Oreochromis niloticus: one gene and its partner. The protein of the gene in region 2 interacts with the protein of the main gene of each other region in a pairwise test. Links are inferred from orthologs where the notes say so. Each region holds a gene or a part of one and is shown on either strand. Other genes may lie near its edges.

The links.
Region 1: the proteins of hsd17b14 (region 2) and ca8 interact in binary tests that used the Homo sapiens proteins (3 or more experiments, as listed by UniProt). The two-hybrid records come from large-scale screens. The link is inferred for Oreochromis niloticus from reciprocal best matches to the Homo sapiens genes HSD17B14 and CA8.

Annotation. Positions count from the first base shown.
Region 1 is NC_031982.2:2,298,019-2,305,652, reverse strand, and holds the start of ca8 (carbonic anhydrase-related protein), read right to left. Parts: upstream 3,013-7,634; 5' UTR 2,756-3,012; coding exon 2,683-2,755; intron 1-2,682. UniProt on the Homo sapiens protein: Does not have a carbonic anhydrase catalytic activity.
Region 2 is NC_031969.2:29,967,362-29,974,757, reverse strand, and holds the start of hsd17b14 (L-fucose dehydrogenase), read right to left. Parts: upstream 3,002-7,396; 5' UTR 2,686-3,001; coding exon 2,604-2,685; intron 2,511-2,603; coding exon 2,472-2,510; intron 2,346-2,471; coding exon 2,248-2,345; intron 2,096-2,247; coding exon 2,029-2,095; intron 1,925-2,028; coding exon 1,833-1,924; intron 1,430-1,832; coding exon 1,325-1,429; intron 1,245-1,324; coding exon 1,177-1,244; intron 583-1,176; coding exon 486-582; intron 1-485. UniProt on the Homo sapiens protein: Catalyzes the NAD(+)-dependent oxidation of L-fucose, yielding L-fucono-1,5-lactone, which rapidly converts spontaneously to L-fucone-1,4-lactone. Can also act on D-arabinose and L-galactose, with lower catalytic efficiency. Does not use NADPH.

The DNA.
Region 1 (7,634 bases), on a different chromosome or scaffold from region 2:
CACAGACAACTGTTTGATTAGTATTAGTTATTTATTAGAGTTTGTTGCTCTCTATATATGTATATATATACACACACATATATATATAGGTGGTGAGCACTGCTAAACTTTAAATTAAAGTTTGTATAAATAGTAGTTGTGGTTTAAATTGGGGTTTGGCGCCACAAAATCAAAGTCAAATAATATTCCCTGAAGTGATATAAACAGAGCTGGGTGTGTGCATGAGAGGAAAAGAGTGGTTTCAGAAGAACGTGTGGGGGACACGAGACTGGCTAAAACTGGTCTTCAGTCCCTCTTCCTCTTTGCCTTGTCCTCATTCTGATCCTGAGTTTCTTTCTGCTTCCTCTCAGTGTCTAGTAAACAGGATTTCTTGCAGTGAGTGTGACAATGAGATTACTGTTCATAAAAGCATAATTAAGCAGACTGCAGTTGTAAAAACAGGGCAAGTCTGCCCTAAATGAGACAGGTCACCTGTCAACAGCACAACACTGAAATATTTTGTAAGATAGTAATGCCTTTGTTTAATAGAGTGTGAAGAGCAAAAAGTGTAGAGAAAGTGATACCACTGAAAGACAGAATTTGCTTCACTTTCAGCTGACTGCAACAGTAAGAGATGTGTATAATGTGCACAACCTGCTGTGTTTTTAGAAAGAGGAAACACACACTGGCAGTATGGTGTTCATGGAAAGTCCAGTACACCCATCTGCCTCCAAGAAAAGGAGCTCAGGCCTCACAGTGTGCCTTTCTGTTGGGACTGCAGACAGACGGCCCTCACTGGCTGACTATTCACACCGTAGCAAAGAGGCAAGGGGGAGCAGTCACATTCTCGCTTTCCTCAGCAACTAAAGCCTTAACAACAGTTTACTAAAGGCAGTGAGAATTTCAGTGGCACTACTAGATTGCGGATTGTTGCTTTAATGACCTCAAATTAAGAACTTAGCTTTGTGAGTAATTGTGTTTTTTTATTTCAGTCACTGAAAAAATTTGGGGGTTGTAAGCTTATTTCTTCTCTTGTTAACTTTAGTGTTAGATGATATCATTCTTATGTGTAAGCTAATCAAGAAATGACTGTGCCTGATTGTTAGCCACAGAGGCATTAGAGACCTGTTGGTGGCCATCTGATAGTGCACCTTCAATGGCTGTTGGAGGTTCTGGCAGTCTCTGTGAAATCAACTGATCAACTCGCACAGAGACCTCAAAACCAGTCAGTCAGTGACCTTGTAATTCACTGGTTGCAGCAGAAAAATGTGCTTTCTTTACCTGGTTGTGGGTGGTTGCTGGAAGTCGCTGGCTGTTTTTATCAAGAAAGTGTTTGCAAGCAGATGTAAAGTGGTACACCAAAACCCTTCTTTGAGAAACCCCCTTTACTTTACTTGCTAGCAGGCTGCCACCTTTGCAGCAGTTTATATGGAAGATGCTGAAATTTCTGTAAACACTTGCAAATTACTCACCAACTGTTAGTGAAACTAAGAGTGACAAAAATGAGAAATTGAGAACATTTGCAGTCAGAGTAAAAGTTAGGGTTAGGGTTAGCCCTAACCCTAGCCCTAACCCAATTTATACTGCACTTGTTCCACATTTGACTAAAGCTTGTGGCATAAATGACAACTCTTTGTAGAAAAGTCTGTGTCTTCCATGCAAACTGCAGGTGACCAAAGCTATCACAAGCAGATTCTTGGTGTAGCTGATTTCACCTGGCAATAGCAGCAACGATTTGCGAGCAACATTTTTCCCTGGTGATCAGAGGTTGTCAGGGGGTCAACCAACCTCTAGGTCTATGTGACTGAGACCTTAGCTAAGTCCTAAGAAAGGAAACTTTTGCTTATTAGACAGCAGTAAGCACTGTCAGCTCATGGCAAGGAAGTTCTGTGCTTGTGCTTATAAATTAAGATGAGGAATTTCCTGTGGGAACCTCTCATCTCCTCTTAACCTAACCAGGTATTCGCATGTCAGATATTAGTGTCTTAGACATACATGGTATTCCATATAATTTAGTATACTTACAGTAAGAATTTCACAGTTCAGTGTGACAGTATATCCCTCGATGCTCAGTAAAAGCAGCATTACCAGAAAGACAAAGTGAACACATAACTACATGACATACTGAAAGTATGACAGTAATATTTGTAACCTATGTTCAAGTGCTTATGTGCTTTATTCAGTTTCTCTTTAGACAAAGATATATGAGTATATGAGTGATATATGAGTGACAGCTCTTAATGCCAAGCCATTTTTGAGTTTTATTGTATGATTTGTAGAGTCCAAGGTAATCTTTGCTCTGCTGAAACTCTCTGACCAACAACTGTCTGATGCAAGTCTCCTAGACCTTTAGCAGTGCAGTGATAAATAACTGGTTTGCTGGCAACTTTACTGAAGTGATATTGTTCTTGTGATATTTTTCTATATAACACTGACTGTAAATCATGCCGTTCGAGCAACCTACAACATAGGAGATGAGAGAGTAAAACCATTAGTGGTTTATTAAAAAAATAATGAAGCCGGTGTTCTGACAGATGTTGTACAGTGTATAACCCAAATCCAACTAAAGAATCAAATTGTATTTTTTTAAATGTTTTTAAAAAGTGTAAAGTTTTGGGTTGAGTCCCCCTTGAAACTCCTCCTGATCCTTAGCTTTTCACACATCTCCAGCATCCCTTCACATACTGAGAAATCCCAGCCTACCTTCCTCATAGCCCCAGTCCAGCTCATCTTTCCCTGGGGTATAATCCGACTCCTCATTCACGTTGTCAGCCATGGTGCTTTGCAGTCTACTCCCTGTGGCTAGAAACCAGTCTGTCCTCCCACTAGGCTCCCAGTCACTCTGAAGTCTGCTGGATGGATTCCCAGCTCAGCAACAACTCTGTCTTTTCTTTGATGCAGTTTCTCTTTTCTTCCTTTTTTCTGTCTGTCTCTTCTTATCCCCCTTTCTTACTCTCTCTTGCTCTCGTCCTCCTAAAGAGACAAGCTGATGATGTGTGCAGACTGTTCTGCCTCTCTGAGCAGCTCTTTACTCTGTGTTGCTCCGCCTCTTTTCTCTCGCTACTTTGCTCTACTGTTATCTCTCTCTCTTCCTCTCTCTTTCTCTCTCTCTCTCTCTCTCTTCCTTTCTGTCTCTGCAGGTGTGCTTGCTCACCCTGGCATAAAATGTCACAACAGTGTTTCTTTTTCATCTCCCTGCCCTGTATGCTCCCTCTGTTCAGAGGTGAAAATAAACTGTAAAGCATATCGGCTTTAATTATTTTTTCTTTCTTGATTTATTTGTTATGCTCTTTTAGCCTTTCTGCTGTTTTCAGAACCAAAGTGGTTGTGTGTATGTGTGTGTGCTGGAATGCTGGCAGGAAGGTCATGCTGGTGTTTCTGTTGGAGGCCACAGATCCACCCTTGGGTGAAGGAAACAGCAGTGGTTGAGAAAACATGCAAAAAGCAGCATGAGGGTGAAAGTGAAAGGCCAACTCTACTTCAGACTTGATGGCTTCAAGATGGACAAAGAAAGTGGCTCTCAAACACCCACAGAAGCCTTTGGCTACAACTTCATGGCCTATCACAAATGACTTTGAACACTGAACAGTGGTTTATATTTCACCCTGTTATACATTCTTTAATTACCAGTTGTTGTCATTTGTAAGTTAACTATATATTTTTCAATTTTACTGTATTTTTTGGGAGGTGGAGTCTCAAATGGGACAAATAATTCATAGTATTGACATTTTTTCCTTTGTTCATTCCCTCCTTTCCTAATCCATATCCTCCAGGCTGCTCTCATTAATTACCCTACATTCTTTATCAGGAAACTGTCCTTGGAAACTGTCCTCAGAGCAAGCTAAATGAAGAAGAGCTCCCTTGATGTGCAGGAGCATCAACATTTAAAGAACAGCCAACAGGAGTGTCTTCCCCATCTGAAATTCCCAAAGTTACCAAATCATGGGATTTGCTAGGTTTTCCAAGAGCCAAGAGGAAGTGCAGAAGTCTAATTTGCACTTAAATTGTTAAATTACACAACATATCCTTTTACTTAAGTAACAGAACAGGTTGTTACCCTCTGACTCCCAAAAAACCTTATAGGAGTTCCTGCTGAAATGACATATGAGCGTTCTTAAATTGTAATAGTATCACCCAGGAAGAGCAACTAAATCCCTGTTTGGAGACGGAACGTGTGGTGGTTGTGTAATCAAACACAAGACCTTAAGCTATGAGCTGAGGTTTTTTTTAGGTAGGAACACTGTTGCATACTACTTTGAGTTTTGTTTCCTTTACTTTTTATTAATAATTAAAGCAGTCAGTGGCTGCATGCCTTCCAGTGCCTTGTAAGTTGTAAGATGAAGAACTTGTCTGATATATTCTACTTCAGATGTAAAGAAATTAAGACAAACTGATCAAATGTAGAAATTTCATAGATTATTTGATTACTGAATTCACAGCCACTTTCTTGTGGTGATACTCAAATACAATGAATTTGCTGAGATATTACTCAAAACCAGCAGAATTTAGCCTCTAATTATTCTATTTAATACTGGTATTTCAATCAATCTGATGGACTTAGCTAGTGACACCTATTCACTTCTTTAGTGTATGTTCTTTACCAATGCAGATGTCTTCTCCTGTCCAGAGTGATTTCCTCCTGTTGCTTTCTGCCATCAAACACGTCACATTTAGTCAGATTACCTTGCTCTGTAAGAAACAATTAGTCACTACAGCTCAGCATGTCAATAATGAGTATTTAATTAGCTCTTTGGAAAATTCTTTTCATGCTTTGCATTTACCTGTTTGCTTGCTGCCATCAAGTGGTATTGTGTTATATTTACCCTCACAGTAAAGAAGATAGAGAGCCTTGGATCTTTTTTCTTTTTCTTTTCTCAATTTTGCGAGTGTCATCATAGCTGAATAAAAAAAAAAGCAAATCCTCTGACATATGACAATGTTTGTTTTGTTTTTTTATTAAAATAAGCTAGCATTAACACTTTGAGCCTAGCTAGTTAAAATTCAATATAGATTCAAAAAATTAAAAATGTATTTCTTGTTGTCAGTAGCAACTGATATCTGTGATTGTGCCAGAGCATATTTTGAATCACCATCATGGGCATTTCAGATTTCAACACAGGTGGTTGATTGTTACACTCTGGAAACTGAATGAAGGTGAGCATCATAACCCCATAAATCATAAAAAAAATCACTTCAAATTTTTGGTGAAAAACTTGGTCATGACAGTGCAGATTCCTGACATTTTGTAAGCATGTAACAGTTTGATTATTTCTAACACAAGAATGTGAAACTTAAATTAGAAAAATTGTATTTCCAACTGATCCACCTCATGTTGTGTAGTATTCTGGATTTTATACTTATTGAGCTACATGTTTATTTAATATATAGGCTACACAGTAGCCTATATATAAAATCAAAATGCACATTTTTTATGTAACGGAAATGTTTTATTATTTGGCCTAAAGCCAATAAGAAGGTTACTGACCATGTTTATAGGAAACAGGTGTATACTTACTGCATTTGGTGTATTTTAAGCATATATAATAAATATTACAGAATGTAACACCTGCACATTGATTTTGCCACCCCATGTGATTTCCCTGTCACCCTCACGCCATCCTAGGAATATTTCTCTAGATCCACCCCTGCATGTCAGGACTGATATTGCAAGCTTACTGGCTAGAACTGAAGGTAGGTCCTATGTCATTCCCTATTCTATGTTTCTTTTTGACTCTGACTGGGGGTATAATAATATCTGAAATCAGCACTGCGTTCTATTTAATAAAGCTTAACTTACAATCTTAAGTATAACTGAAGTTACAGATCAAAAAAACTGAAAGGCATTTTCCTTACACTTATCTACAATTAGAGGAGTCGCCCTCTGCTGGCCCTGTGCTAAAAAGAATCCAGGTTTAAGGCACTGCAAAGAGCCACTGCTCTTCTGTGCAGTGAATAATGGCCACAGAGTTTCCTTTCAGGTTTTTACATGGTTGAAAATTTGTTTTCTACAATACAATGATCCATTTAAAGTTCAAGGACTAGGTTACATCACTGCTTTTAAAATGTCCACCTGTAACCGGTTGGTTTAACTCTTGAATACATGCTGTAAACACAGCTGTCTGTTGAGCTTGGAACTTAGATGTGGGCTGGAATCAAAGGCAACATTGTTTTCATTGTGTGTCATTACTTTTTTGTTTAAGTCAAATTTATTTTCTGTGTCTCACTGTGACGACATACAAAATGTCATGAGGGCAAAAGTAACTCGGAACATAAATTGTTACATTTTGGGATTACAAGTAGATATAGACAGGTCTATCCAGAAAATGAATGTCCTAAAACATAACATCAGAATATCATCAGAATAGTGCGCAATTTTGAGAGTCTGCGATTGAAATAAGGCTGGGTCTATTTTGTGGAAAATTGTAGCTTTTTTAATTTATTGAAAGAATAGCTGCCTAAGATGATGCATTTTATTTTCCAGCTGTTCCTTTTAAAAATGTGAAAAAATCACATTTGAATTAAAAAGAGATAACACTTTATTTCAAGATAATGTTAAATCAGAAAAATCCCATTTAAATTGATGTTAAAGCGTTGTAAAACTACTCAAGGAGTAATGGAGAAGTGAATGGTTTTCTTACAAATGGATGTTTTGGGTTTGTTTGGGGTTTTTTTTTTAAACTTACTCACAGATGTCATATTATTTCCAGGCCTTTCGGGCTGGTTTTCTGAACTTGCTGATAATTCTGTCTGCCCAGATTTATGTTGTTTTGCTTTCTTTAGATTTATTTTTTTTATGGTCTAATATTTTGCACTGATTTACTGTAATAACCCCTCCATCCATCACCATGTTCCTAAGACCTGTGTTGTCGAGAGAAACTTTTTCTGGTGGGCCTCCCAAAGCAAAATGGTCTTCAGATTAAGTGTCATTCAAATGAGCACTGAGTGGCCGAGCCTTAGCCCACTGGGCCTGGACCCAGAACAAGACTCATGAGTCCACCCTCCTGTGGAGGCAGAGGGAGCTATAAGGGTCTGGTGCTTTGTAGATCAAGTAAGAGTCAGTGGCTTTGGCAGTCACATCCCCAGCTGCCCAAGTTGACTTCAGGGACATAGAGACAGGTGAGGAGCTTGTTCATCTAGGACGACTCAGAGAGAACACCTGATGAGGATGGATCCTGCATGTGTAACTGGGAGAGAACATGCTGGAGAGATGATGACTCTTACTTGCCTTGGGAAAGCATTGGTCAAAAACATTTCTGCTGGATAACCTAGAGGCTATAGCCAGGTAAGAAGTGGGTCTGAGCATCTTTTCTTAGTCTGCTGCCTCAATGACCCAAACCCAGATAAATGGCAAAAAAAAAAAAAATGGCCCTGGTCCTGAGCAAGATTATACGTGAAAGCCAGGTCAAAGAAATCTGACAGCAGTCTGGCTGGACTCGGCTAATTCCTCACAATCTTCTCAGAACAGCACTGAAGCACTATCACATCCCAGACCACATCAAGGTAATAATCAGCAGTTACCTGAGAGGGTTCAAGCACCGCTTCAAGGCCAAAGACTACCTACAGAAAGAGATCGTCACCATTCCTGTTTGCTATGAGCATTAACTTCATCGTGACGTCACTATCATTGGAGCAGTGGAAAACGTAAGACAACTGGC
Region 2 (7,396 bases):
CTTCCTGGGGACTAAATCTAGCACTTTATCTAGCTTCCTCCATCTCTTCTAACTGACATCCAACCTACACGGCGTTCACACTGACAACATTCAACATTACCTCTACGATTTCCAGCTTCAAACTCATTAACCTGTCTGACACTGGCTCTGAAAAATATCCGCCTCCTTCTCTCCTTCATATCAGCTAGCTCCTCACATGTAAGTCCCTATCTCTGACCGCCACACTCCTGCCTTTCCTTCTCTCACGCCACCTCCTAACACACCTTCCCCCTCTCCCCTTCCATTGTTTTGAGCCAATAGTAGCACACTTTCCACCAGCAGCCTGCTGACCAACAACGCCAGAGGCATTCGCTGCCCTGATCCAATGTGATGATGGCACGGTTCATTTTTCATAACTTTTCATGAATGACTTTGCATAACTCAGCTCCTCACTACTAACCAGCACCCATAATCTACATGGCTTCTGAACGCCTTCCTGAACGTACCTGAGCATTTTCCCCCATTTTAATGGTAGCGGCAGTGTCTGGTGTCTGTGCTGCTAGTTCCTCCCACAGAGGTGTTATCACGTTACCTGGTGAAATGCTGCAACAAAAGCCAGACACTCTGATCAGACAAAGAAATGCATAATTATTAAAATAAAGGAAATGAAATACTTGTAGAATCTCTACACATTCAGTTTTTATTTCACACCTGAATTCTTTTTATTTATCAGAATCACATTTTTTATTTCACTGTAGTTCTGTCTTTTACCTCCAGTTAATGCTTAATTATAGTTGTTTGTTATCTTAGTAATCAATTAATTTAATTTCTTTCCTTATATCCAAAATTATTTAGTATTCATTTTAGCCTTGTAACCAGCACACTCGCACATATCTCCTTATATAAAGAAATAAATGTGTAACATCGGCTGCTCCACAGCCACAAGGACACTCAGGATTGTGAGGACTGGATTTGACTCTTGAAGCCGTAGTTCAGTTCGGCAATCAATGATGCATTCATTAATTGCATCATTAATTGCATGATGCAATTCATGAATTGGGGGCGGGGGAGCCTGTGACTCAACACATTTTTATATCTTATTCTTGTGATTAAAGTGAAATCCAATTAATTAATCTGGAAATTAAAAATATATTTTCTCCCTAGAAAACTTTTTTTTCAGATGCCAGTTTGCCTCACCAGTTGACTCTCACATTGTAGCGGCTCTCATCCACTGCCATTGCCTTTGTCATGGAAATGATCGCCCCCTTGTGGAGAAGACATCACATTACAGTACTCTTCTATTGGGCAGGGGGCTGAAATTTAGGAAATGAGGAAAGAAGCTCACCTTTGTGGCAACATACGGTGCAGCATCTTTCTGACCGATAGTTCCCACAAGACTGGAAATATTGATGATGTTTCCTTGGCGCTCTCGTAGGTACGGTAACACATACTGCAGAGAGAGCGAGACTTTCAGGTGGTGCAAAGATCCTCTATACATAATGTTTCGATTACTCCAAGAGCTCAAACAGAAATGAAAGGTATGACGGGTTTATGGGTTATTAGTTAGTCAGACTGGCGTTGGCTAAAATCAATCAGTCAATGCAAGAACCTGGAAATCCTGGAATCCTGATATCAAAGGAGGTAGATTCCATGTTAAGGATATGATCGTGTACTTTTAAGACCACTGAAAACATTTTTTTCCTGTATTGTTTCCCCGCTTGTCTTTTCATAATAAAGTTATTTGTTATTTATTTCATTCATCAGTGTTTAAATGTATCACTTTAATCTTTATGTCCTGTCTTTGTTTCCACAGAAGACAGAATATACTTGCACGCAAAGCTGTGAAAATTTACTTTAGACGCCAAAAAGTAGCTGACGAGGTTCAGATTCAACAAGTCTCTGAACTCCTCCGCTGTGGTGTCATCGGTGGGTTTATGAGGAGGGTCTGAAGAGGAAGATTTCACACAAAGAAGGAAAGTAAGCAGGACGGCCATGACGTCATATCTGCTTGGAGGTGAAAAACAGACAAAAAATGCATGTGTGACTCACGCCAGCCTGCGTTGTTGACCAGGCAGTCGATGTGACCAAACTGCTCCACTGTGACTGCAATCAGTCTCTGCACAGACAAGAGAAACCAACAAATGACAAGCACACATCAGCAGTGGCTGCCCGAGTCACTCTCTGAGCTCATGTGATCATCATGTGATCATCATGTGATCATGTGACTCTGTCCATTTCAGACCTTACACCCACAAAGCTGTACTTCACCTTTATGTCTTCTTCCTTGGAGATGTCACTTTTGACAAACTTGCACGAGCCTGGTCCGGTCTTGTTAAGCTCCGTCTCTAAAGCTTCACCTGCTGCACCTACGAGACACGTCTGATCATGCCGCAAAAACTTGCACTCCATTATTTTTCTTTTCATATATGCTGGCAAAAGTGAATTCGTGTAACTGTTTTAAAAAGCAGCAGAATAAAAACAGCCTTACTAACTTTCTCTTGCACAAAACGCCACTTTGGCTCCGTTTTCCACTATAAAAGAAAAAAAAAAGTCGCAGAAATGTTCAGTGCGCCACTCCTCGCTGCATGCGCAAACTGCCAGCATAAATAAAGACATTTTCATACCAAACACTCTGACAATCCCTCTGCCAATCCCTTTGGATCCTCCCGTGACAACAGCCACTTTGTTGTGGTAGCGGAGGGACATTTTGTCTGCGATTACGATGATAAATGTGACGCAAAGCGGCGCTGCTGTCAAACAGCGGACTAATAACGGTTAGTTCTTACTTTCTCTGCTCGGAGTTATTACAGCAGGACTCCTCTGTGTCTTCGCCGCCAGCAGAAACGATCAGCCGCTGTCAGCATGTTTGTAAAGTTCAAAGTACCACAAAATCATGCGGTTTGCTTTGCTGCATTCAGGAGCATAGGGGATAGTAGGAAATCCATACATTCACAAGAAAACTAGCTCTAGAGAGGGTTCTTGAACTTTTATAATAATATCCTTTTTACTTCAACTGTGTCTGGACATCTGTGCTTGGGTGCCAATAACTTAGCCGCCCTAAGCTGATGTCAGCTTCCTTAGAAATCATCACTCTGGACACAGGGGCGGATCTAGAAGGGTGGCATGGGGTGGCAAGTGCCACCCTAAAATGATCCTTTGCCACCCCAGTTTTGCATATGACAGTGTTGTTTATTAAAATAAGATAGCATTAACAGTTTGAGCGTAGTTACAGTCAACAGTGAATAAAACTGAATATATTGCATAGTGTTCCTCCCCTCTACCATTAACAAATGGTTCAGCCCACAGCAGGACCAGCTTTTTTCTTGTTATCAGTAGCAAGCGATGTTTATGATTGTGCCAGAGCACATTTTGAACAACACCACGGGAATTTCGGATTTTACACAGGTGGTTGGATGTTACACTATGGAAATGGAAGGAAGATGAGTGTTATTAACCCTCTGTGGTCCACGGACACGCTGCACCTCCAAATCACATGACTATGTTAAGCTGACATAGCAACAAGCTGCAGCCACGCTGAGTCTCTGTTTCAGCCCACATTGAAAGTTCGGACTTCAAAGTTTTTAAATTTTAATTACAGGCCAGTAAATCCAGAGTTATGATAATATATATAATCCATGCTTTTTTCTAAATACTGTCGTCACGTTTTTTATGTGTGCTGTGTGTATTTTAAGTGTTTTCTAAGGAAAGCGCGAAAACAGTAAAGAAAGGAAAAGAAGCCTATCGGTGGAAAAATGTACCATGTCAACCAATTTTTAAAAAAGTCAACACGTGGGATTTGGTTGTTTAGGGAGAGGGGAGAGTTTTTAGAGTGACGGTAACGGCAGCGAGACAGAGCGAGCGAGTGAGAGAGTTTTTAGATGTGGGAGATTTGTGACGTTTAGTGTGGAGTGTACAGTTAGTGTGTTGTGTTGTCTTGTGTAGCTGTTCTGTTGTGCAGTCGTTTTGTTGTGTGTGTCAGTGAGGGCACTAATGAATGTCACAAAGGCACATTTGCAATGTAAACACTGTCACTAAGTAGAAAACCAGCGGAGTGATACACCTGCTGTTGTCAGGCCTGCAGGTTTATCCCTGTGCTGTTCTCATCTGTCTTTTGGTGGACAAACTTTTTTTTTACTGGCACACATCATTTGTGGGGCATCTTATTGCAACACCTGATTGTTCTCTCATTTTAGTTTTAGTATATTTTTAAATGGTTGTACAAAATGAAAGCAACGGCAGGTGTATTGGCTGCATTTTTAGATAAATAGTTGGATATGTTTACAAAATGTACAATTTATATTTGCATTTCAAGTTATAAAAATTTACTCAACATGTCTGTGGTTTTTTTTTTTCAGTAAAAAAATACTACTAGGATTTTAAGTTCTTTGTGTGATTTCAGATCAGTAATACTAATGCAGTATGTCAGTGAAAAAAACAACTAAATTCAGTTGAGCTGAAAAGAATGATCCCAAACAAGGCAAGGGGGAAAAATAAAATGAAACAATCTGAGGGTGAAATACAAACGTAAACTCAAAAGGAGTCAAAAATGCCCGGTTGTATTTCAGACCTCAGTGGGTTAATCCAACAAATCATGAAAAATTAGGTTTAAATTTTTGTTCATGACAGTGCAGATTTCTGACATTTTGTGTAATTTAAGCTGTAACAATGTGATTGTTTTCTAACAAAAAACAGTGTGAAACTTAAGTTAGACTTGTGTTTGTAAATGAACCGCCCCATGTTGTGCAACTTTCTGGATTTTATACTTGTTGGGCTACATATTTATTTATTATACAGGCTATACAGTACATAATATCAAAACTCACATGTTTTATGTAACTAAAGTGTGTAATTATGTGGGCTACAGACAATAATTAAGTTATAGACTATATTTATATGAAAAACGTGTATACTTACTGCATTTGAATCATTTTAACCATATGTAACCACCTGCATATGTGTTTGGGGAAAAAAAGGCTTTGATTTTGCCACCCCATTTGATTTCTTTGCCACCCTCATGCCACTCTAAAAAAAATTTCTCTAGATCCGCCCCAGACTGGACATGATTAGTTTCGTTCTGTGAAAGGAAGTTCTTCCTACTCCCCATTATCAAGCACTTGCACGAATGGGATCGTCTGATTGTTGGGGATCTCTCTCCAATACTGTAGTGTCTTTACCTGACAGTATGAAGCACCTGCTTCCCACTAAACTTGCTGATGCTATGTTTCTAGCAGTTATAAAGCACTTAAAGATCAAGGAGATCTGGCCTTTTGTTAAAAGTATTCATTTTTGTATACTTAATCTTAAACGTAATTATTTCATTTCTTCATTTTCATGCCTCACTGGTCAACATATTCGTGTAAAAGGGTGCTGGGTCGATTGGAGGTAAAAATCAGAGACACTAAACCTTTGAAGTTGGCTCAGGAAGGGCATGTGACTTAAAACATGTGGATAAGGTAGAAGCTGAAATGAACTTTAATCTAATTTCCTCATTTTACATGGCAAAACATTTTGTGTTTAAAAATAAAAATTTGGAAATCCTTAAACTTCCTGATTTTTTTCAGGGATTCAGATTTTTGGACATCAGCCTGTATTATTATTATTATTATTATTATTATTATTATTAATAATAATAATAATAATAATTTTAAGGAACATTGTGCTTTATTAACTTAAAGGTTAAACTAATATTTGAGGTCATAAACTCACCAACTCACAAATTATTTTTAAATTGGGCTTCTTTCTGCAACCTGTGGCGTCAGCCCCCTGCTGGCCATTACAAAGAATACAGTTTAAGGCACACTGCTTCACATTTGCTTCACTTTTCAGACCTGGAAGCTACATCTATTTTTTTTTATACAGAGCATAGCTTGCATGCTACCATACCACTCACTATGCCAGTAAAGGATTCAGCACATCTCACACAGTTTAATAAAGTGAGCCAAAAATACCAGGATCTCCAAGTGCCTTCAGCTGCAGCTTGCAGTAAACAAGCCAGCAGGTTTTCCCACACATTCCGACCTACAGTCCTCTGCAACAGCTACTCTTATTCAAAGTATCAAAATTGGATTTGGAGATTTGGAATGCAAAGAGCAAACTTTACAAACCCTTTGTGAAAATAAACACTTAAGAGCTGTAAATTACTTGAAGTATTTGAAGGCAACAGTAAGAAAAGTCTTCCTGCACACAGACCCAGAGACTCAGAGATGTTTTGGTGTATAATTTAAGATGTGTCTAAAATAACCACAGAAATCAAGTTTTATATTTAACATAAAGTGAGTAATGGTGTGGTCACATTTCATGACAGATTTATCACTGCTCTGATCCAATTTGTGGATAATTCTGCACAAACCACAGTAACCTGCAAGTTTTAATTTATATCTAAGATGCAACAGCAAAAGAGGGAAAAAACATAAATACCAACCAAATGTTTGTGGTATGATTCTAGAGTGTAAATCATGTTCATGGTGCAAACACTGCTCCCTTATTTTATTTTTTATTCTCCTTTTTAAACTTTCTAGTTCAGGTACAGATCAGGCTACAAGTGTATGTAAGAATGCACAGCATGTTTAAGACAGACTTAGGGTTGTAAGAGGTTGACATTTTTGAGTGAGGAGGCTTGTTGGGGTCAGAAAAAGTGGGCGAATAGGCAGCGTGCTCTTGGAAAAGGAGCAAATCCAAGATTGAATTTCCGCCTAACAGCATTCCCCATGCTGAGAGCGAGAGGCAGCGCAAGGGTGCAAGCGCAGACAGTGAGTGACCTATAAACAAGCTTAACAATTTTAACTTTACCCACGGTGGCAGATTAACACCACAGCAGCCCCTGAAGAAGCACACTACTCCCTCTATCTCCTCCCCTCACCTCCTAAATGTGACTCAAGGGAGAATTAGGAGGGGTTGCCTGGATGGTGTGATGATGGGTCGGCCCAGAAGGCACATGGAGGTGAAGGAACAGCAGGAGGGTCATGGTCACTCGCCTGGGGTTTGAAGCACTAGCCTGAAGCATTAGCTGCCGGGCAGGCAGGTGAAAGGAGGAGCTGAACTAAGGTGGGTTTACAGTAACTGCATGTCTTGGAATTTGTGCATGCAGTATGAAATCAAATCTAAACAAAGACACTGTATAGCATGTTTTAAGACAAGTGGAGCTGACAGCAGTTTCTCTGATGGTCTATGGAGACGGAGAAAATCACCTTAAAATCCATTTTGATTGAACCAAAAAGTCCAGTGTGTGAATGTGAGAGTGAATGAATAGAGGAATTGTAAAGCGCTTTGAGGGTCTCGAAAAGCGCTATATAAATGTAATCCATTAAGTCAGTTCAGGGAAGGGTGTACAGGTGTAACATTTTCTGGTGTGTTACAATAAAGTGTAACAGTAAAAAAAATATAAAAATTGAATAGATTTGCTAAAAGAATCAACTCA